Linked DNA regions of Saccharomyces cerevisiae S288C. Changing the gene in region 2 together with the main gene of any one other region gives a genetic interaction. Each region holds a gene or a part of one and is shown on either strand. Other genes may lie near its edges.

Region 1 (2,896 bases), on a different chromosome or scaffold from region 2:
CCGCTTTCCTAAAAGTTCTATAAAAAATTCTCAAGAGTTACAGGATAGCTTAAATGACCAAAAATTCAAGAAGTTTATGCATTGGTTTCCCTCTATAGAATTTTTTGATGTGGAATTCTTGCTAAAGGTGTTGACGTATGATGCCACTGAAAGGTGCGATGCTAGACAATTGATGGCTCACGAATTTTTTGACGCGTTAAGAAATGAAACCTATTTTTTGCCAAGAGGTTCGAGTATGCCGGTTCACCTACCAGACCTCTTTAATTTTAGTGCATCGGAGAAAAGGGCTCTTGGAGAGTATTACAACTTGATTGTGCCATCTCTGGATTAGTTGCTGATTCTTACCTCATTTTTGCATTTGCCGTCATCTTATGTTTCCTTCTTACCACATTACTTGCATTTTTTCTCAGACTGTCCTTTTATGTGAAACATTACAAATATATTGGAATGTACATACTCCTATCTAAAAATCTTTTTGTTTTCGAAAAAGTGTTGATAAATACATATATACGTTTTTTATCTAAATCAGATCGCCTTAATTGGCCTCGAAAATATTGGTCAACTTAACTTAGAGCGTCAAAGAATATGAATATTCATCTTCAACATTTTGGGCTATCCATAAAACAACGCAACTCAATAATATGCATACATTCCCCAACACATTGTTTACTCCCATCCCCAAAGTTGGATAGGTATTGTAATCCTTGACTAAAAATTTGATGATCAACACGACAATGGAGCCTGATAGCCCACCAGCTAATAAAGCAAAGCCAAAAAATAAAACGGTTCGAGCTTGCCATGCCATGCTTGAATCTAAATCGCCTACACCACTACCGAAGGCACCACCATCTGACGATAAAGCTCCCTGCAATAATCTATTCTTTTCAATAGAATTCACAATCAATGTTCCCAGTGTGCTGCAAAGAAAAGGAATCCAGTCAATGAACGTAACATGAACATCTGATGCATTGGAATATCTAGAATAGAGCACTGCGTCTAGAAATATCCAAAAGCCTAGAGCATAGAGAGCACCTGAAAGATAGACCCCACCTTTTCTTATACCACGAAAGGTGGGAATCTTGAAGGGGAAGCGAAATAAGCTAACATGATCATCTGCCTCCATGATGATGTGATTTTCTAATTGATCTTGTAGTTGGGGATAAAGAGTTCTGACCTTTAACTATATGCCCTATACTTGCCTTCTTTATGAAAGGGGCGCTGCACATTATTATTTCTGATTTAGTGAATAAGGTAGGGTAACAAATTCCAGAAGAGAATCGCAGTTCATTTTTACGAAAATGGTCATTAACAAAAGGTCAATAGTAGTATATATCAAGGTGAATGATCTTTAAATGAGGTTTTACTAATTTTCCTAGTTAAATATATATATTTCACTATCGAATGATTGACCGGATTGTACTATTTCTAAATAGGAAACGCCAAACTCAATAAACGAAAAAACATACAAAAAATGGGGTAAAAGATAATACTATTATCTTTGCCCAAGAGTGAAGAGTTAGAATACAGGTCCACTTGTTCTGGGTCTAACGTTCTTAAGCATGACATGGTCATGGAATGATTTTGGAAACTGCTGCCAAGGTCACGGCTAGATCACTAAAATTTAAGTGTAAAAAATGTGAAACGCCAAAATCGTAGATGCACGCCTCTGTGACTTAAATCTTCTATCTTTATCACATCACTAATCAGTCGTAGCGGCTATATCTACTAGGAAGACTTGCAACTGATTTGTTTGAAGGACCGGCTCTTACATTTATATTTTTGGAACGATCATTGAATCTCTTGTTTCTTTTTGGCAAGAAGCTCGAAATAACCGATTTGGCTCCACTTTCAGCGGCCTCGTTAAGTGTTGCAGGAGGGTCTATTCTTTTAATCCAATAGCTGGCCAAGAACCAACCAAGGACGGCCAGCAAAAGCAGCACACCCAATATCCCAAACCACCACGCGATACTGGAATTCTCCCCCGGAACTTTAACATTCATACCGAAAAGACCAGTGATAACATTTAATGGAACTAGCATTGTACCTATCATGGTGACTTTACCCAACATTTCTGTCACTTTATTATTAGAATTAAATGATTCCACTTGCAGTTGAGCTAAGTAGTTTGTATGGGATCTAGAAAAAATTTTTTCGTACGCCAGCAAATTTTGAAACATTGTCAACAAATGATCTTGAATATCACCCAAGTATAGGGCGATATCCCCCCTCGGTTGTGATGTGGTGGGCGCATAATTATTTGGTACAGTTGTCGAACTATTATTTTTGATATGACTGGCGTTATCCTGCCTTGCCTGTAAGTTAGCAATATTTATTTGAGATGTTAGTGCCGGTCCAATACCATTAGCTTCATCTTGGCATCTTTTGGCAAACATTTTGATAACATCAGCCTTACCACTAAGAAGTCTCATCAACGTCATTGTCTTACGCCTACTTTCACCAATTCTTTGTAACATTGCTGCAAAATCCATGTCACGAGCCATGAACACAGAATCTTCGATTGCATCTGCTTCATATTCAATAGATTGAATTACAGGAGCGAAACTATCAGTAATGTCATCGATTAAAGCATAACATAACCAATCTGAATTGACATTGACATAGTCACGTAACTGTCTTACACGCCTTCTGACATTAGCACAATGAGATATTGGGCCAAAATGGAATGTTAAAACACCTGACCTACAGACAACAATGTAAACGTTAATAGGTTCCAGGAAATCCTCTGATTCTTTATCATTTTCAAAGGTATGGAAACAAACGAAGTAATACGATTTGAAAAGTTCCACCTTTTCACGTGTTTCTTGCATTCTGATATCTTCTGCAGTCAATGGATGGATACCAAACGCCTTTGCTATGCAACGCATTTCATCATCAG
Region 2 (4,597 bases):
AAAAGCTGTTGCATTACCACGTAATTTTGTATATAAATATCTGATAAATAACCATTTTATTTCCATCCACTTCTTCTGTCGTTCATCCGTTCATTGACATCACTAGAGACACCAGCGAGCTATCATCTTCATACAACAATAACTACCAACCTTAATGCAACCGATCACCACTGCTTCCACACAAGCCACTCAGAAGGATAAATCCTCTGAAAAGAAAGACAACTATATAATCAAGGGCCTCTTCTGGGATCCCGCCTGTGTTATCGCTTAATTTTTGACGACAACCAAGAGGTCAAATCAATATCTACCCTTTCATTTATTACGTGTTGCTGGCAAACTAATTTATTCCAATTCTCTCATCATTAGCTCACCCTTTCCATACTTTTTCATACTTTTATACATATGTATTTGTAGTTATCACTTTAACAGATTTTTTCATGTTTTTCTTTTCTGATACGCCTTTCCCTCCGCAGGAAATGAAAGATGAACCACCCATTACATTCGATTTTTTTTTTAATTATATTTTTGACTATTATTTAATCATTAAAAACACATATATTTCATAAATTCGTAAGGTCGTTAGTTCTATCGTAAAAGTGAAAAAGTTTTGAGCCAGTTTTCAAAAACCCGCAGGATCCCACTATGTATGGCTTTAAATAATGGTTTTTCACGTGCATCAAGTCCGTACTATCTTCACCACTATAAACTCTTATAGGTGGATTATTCGTTTCGAATGCTGGTGGCAGTGCCGGTTTGAAAATAATCTTACCTACCCATGGGTGGTCTTCCGTTAACGGTTTGATGCATCTTAATGAGTCTTTGATATATCTTTTCCTTGAAACTAGTTGTGTCGCCGGTGCCCACTTCGAATCGTTACTGGATTGATTCTTATTTCCACATTTTAGTGACAATTTCTTTGGAAAATCATGATTTAAACAACCAGTCACGGAAAAGCTTTTCGTACTGAATATTGTACCGTACTCAACGTCCGCATTCTCATAGCGAGATTCTCTTTCATCCAAATATACCAATCTATTGATGTCATCATCCTCAACATATCCATCTTCATCATCCTCTTCGTAATTAGCATCGTCTTCGTCTTCGTCATCATCTTCATCTCCATTTACATCTTCATTGCCACGGTTTAACTTTTCTTCACGATTCGTACGCTCAGCAGAATTCGAAATAGTTGACCTTCCTGTTCCCTCGTATACCGGTTCAAAATTATTAATTTTCAACACTGACCGATCACAGCGCAAAGGATCTATAGGGTTGGAATTCGATCTACTTCTGAAGTTTTCATGGATGGATGTTTGTGCCGTTAAAACAGAATGTGCTGTGGGAGAAAAAGTGGAAGATAGAACAGAAGTATTGGTATTAGTAGTACTACCATTGTCATCGATTTCTTCTTGAACACTATTCAGTTCCTTCGATCTCATTTTTTGTCCAATGTCCATATTAGAGTTTTTTCTCGAACTGGAATCTGTTTTAAAGAAATTTCTTAGTTTTGATGTAAATAAGCCACAAAAATCAGTTTGAGAACTCTCCCCTGCCAATGAACCAGAGTCATTGGGCCCATTGGAGTCATGACTCGCATCGGATACAGAGGGAGGTAGCAAGCTTAAACTTCTTGATCTTGATTTGTTTGTCGGACGTTCGTTGCCGGTGGCCACTTTTGTTACAACAGAAGAGGTGTGTGATCTTCTTAAAAGTAAAGAGTGGGAGCGAGAATCATTTCTATCACTATTTTGTCTGCTCTTGTTTTTGTTTTTGTTCTTATTGTGTTGCTTAAATCTTCTTGCCCTCGGATGTCTCCTTCTGGGAACGCTTCTATAGGTGGGCATTTCCCTCAATTCCAGATCCAAGGACAGGGATATACCCATGTTCAAATACATAGCCCAATAGATCAATTCGTCTACATGAGAAAACTGCACTAGAAACTGTTGTCCCTCACAACGCATTCTTAAAACAAAATCTCTAGAGGAATAATCTATAGGCAGACCAACTTTGGCACATTGCAGGGAGTAACTCTTAAAGAGGCGCTCATCTGATAAAAATTTGTGCTCGTCTCGTGCTATTTCCCCGCATATCCTTTCCTTGTCATATTTATCGAATTGGTAAGTGGATTTCGTCGTGAACGCATTTAATAACGACCGAGCCGAATGATGGCGATCGCTAGCAGTTTTGGAATGGTGGGAATGGTCAAACATGTCACCACCACGATAGTTTTTAATATGCCTGGTTAATGAATCGTCAATAGAATAAAAGTTTATCTGCGTAGAGTTTATTTGAAGAATAAAGTTGTTCCATAATCGAGAAGAAGCATTTTCAAAGGGCGATAGTTTTTCCATCTTCATAGAAACCACAGTATAGTGTTCTACAGACGGTGTATAACTGGGAGGTTTCACAGAAGTGAGGCACGGACGACAATGCTCATATATAGGGTACCTAATGACTTTAGACGGATTCGCAAAATCATAACACGGAGGTTCCACTGGGTACGGATCTATGCAGTAAAGCACGTTTTTGTCAGCAACATCAACATCTACTCCGGATTGTGGCTCCACTATTTCGTTCATGATGTTTGTGTTAATGTCTGTTATGCTATCGATATGGTTAAAAGTCACTTTCGGAAGCGGAGAATCCAGAATAGAATTACTAGTAGTACTGGAACAAAGAAACTCGTCGCCCATGGATATGGATGAGGCTGTCTGTGAAAGCTTCAGCCCCGTACTATCCATACCGTCGTGGTCTATTGTCATTTCAAAGATGCTGGAGGACATTTTCTGAATAGGTCCGTTTATCTCTTCTGCTGTCTGCGAAAACAACGTAAAAAAATAGTGCTTAGTGTTACTGCCTGTGTAACAACTAGTGCCAAAGTTACAAAGAAACTTCACTAACAGTTTTTGCAATTTACCAAGAAAGCACCAACAAAATAAATAAATAGCATGCCTGTATATATTACGAAAAGTCCTTCAACTACGTCTTCCACTTGCTCTATCCCTTGGCGGAAAACAGAATACATGCAAATTTTAGAGAATTTTTCAAGATGCCTGCCCCCCACATTTTCTTACTTGATCAAGAGCAGATCTGTTCCTTTGCGCAGGGGGTTGCATGGGGGAGAAACTGGCCGGAAGCAGCCGAAAGAAAGTTCGCAAAAAGATAATGGGGACAGTATTAGAGAAAACGGCGTGGAGGGGTATGGAGGAAACAGTTAGCATAGGTAACGAAAAACCGCAGCAAAATAATTCTCTCTTTTTTTCTTTTGACTTAGTTGTGGGACCCGGATCATTCGGTACTGCATCTTATTCCCGTGCCAAGGTCTCTGGGTGTTGCTGATTTCCGGGTATCCAGAGCTCTATCTGCTTCCGTACCCAGTGAGTGAGCTAAAATAAAAAAGGGGCCTCGGCGGAATTTGAATTCGGGTTACGTTTCCCACGGAGCCCCGGATAGAAAAGATTAGTTTCAGGTACATGTGTCAAATGAGGATAAATCTCAAACACCCATGTACCGAAAATCGATGTGTTGGTTATATTACAAGGTTGGAATAGACCACGGTGATAAGACGTGGAATTTTTGACTGACCATGCGACTCTGAAGGTGTTAACCGGAGGAATTCACGTAATTTACATCTCAAGAACAGCAGAACAAAGATCGAGTATATGATGAAATTTCGTTTTACATGAATAAAGTCATATTTTAACTCACTGTGCACGGATTAAGGGCTGTGATTTAGTGGGACGAGTGGTTCTACACTACTCAAGAAGTCACGCTGTCATTTGATGGAATTACAGTGCTTATTAGGAGCCGTGTAGCTTAGTGTGAATTGATGGAAGCTTTCGAGTTTCATAGAACATATCTGGTGAATGTATATGAGTTTTTCATTCCTTTTACGAGACGCAACTTTCCGCGGTTACGGAACTGTTGTTTTGTTTTACATCTTTTCATTTTTCATACATTTTATTGAGGCGTAGAAATGAAATGGGTAGAGCGGCACATGGATGTAACAATCTCCATTATTCACGTCGAGCCGATACCCGCTTCTGTTGACGCTCTGTTAAGCATAGAACCTACGAGATTTGTGCTAAAGGACGTTGGCAAGGAAGAAAACTATTGTTGATGACAGGATTTATAGCAGTAAATATTTTTTTCTTTTTTGCGAAATTATGTACGTTTCTCATCCAAGAAGAATCCTGTTAATATTTAAATTTCTGCTAGTCATTATCATATTGCAATGGCTTTTATTAGTGAAAGCCACTGTCAACAGTAACTGAGCTACTCCCTCCAATGTTGTCTAACTCTATGCTCTTTTTGGCGTCTGAATGAGCCATAACGAGGGAAATAACTGTATCAGGAATACTAACAGAATACAGATTGGATGCACTGGTGCTGGTGAGTTTTCTTTTTCTGATATTATTGGATAATATTTTCAGCTATAGACTATCATCATTCAGCATTGGTCACGCTAAAATATACGTTCCATGCATACGTGATAGCCTACTCGGTTGTCAACTTCATTTTATAGGCTGCCTGGTCACCGATTACCGCCCCGCTCAGCAGGACGGTTTAAGCTTCTGTTCTTGGAAACGACGTAATT

The links.
Region 1: mutations in MPF1 (region 2) and VPS68 together harm fitness more than expected from each alone (negative genetic interaction), as found in Saccharomyces cerevisiae (one large-scale study listed by BioGRID).

The regions. Positions count from the first base shown.
Region 1 is NC_001147.6:75,787-78,682, reverse strand, and holds VPS68 (Vps68p), read right to left. Parts: upstream 1,124-2,896; coding exon 569-1,123; downstream 1-568. Other genes in the region: serine/threonine protein kinase YGK3, read left to right, coding at 1-331; Mg(2+) transporter ALR1, read right to left, coding at 1,704-2,896. UniProt on the Saccharomyces cerevisiae protein: Involved in vacuolar protein sorting.
Region 2 is NC_001146.8:352,260-356,856, forward strand, and holds MPF1 (Mpf1p), read right to left. Parts: upstream 2,784-4,597; coding exon 561-2,783; downstream 1-560. Other genes in the region: MFA2 (mating pheromone a), read left to right, coding at 155-271; YNL143C (uncharacterized protein), read right to left, coding at 4,535-4,597.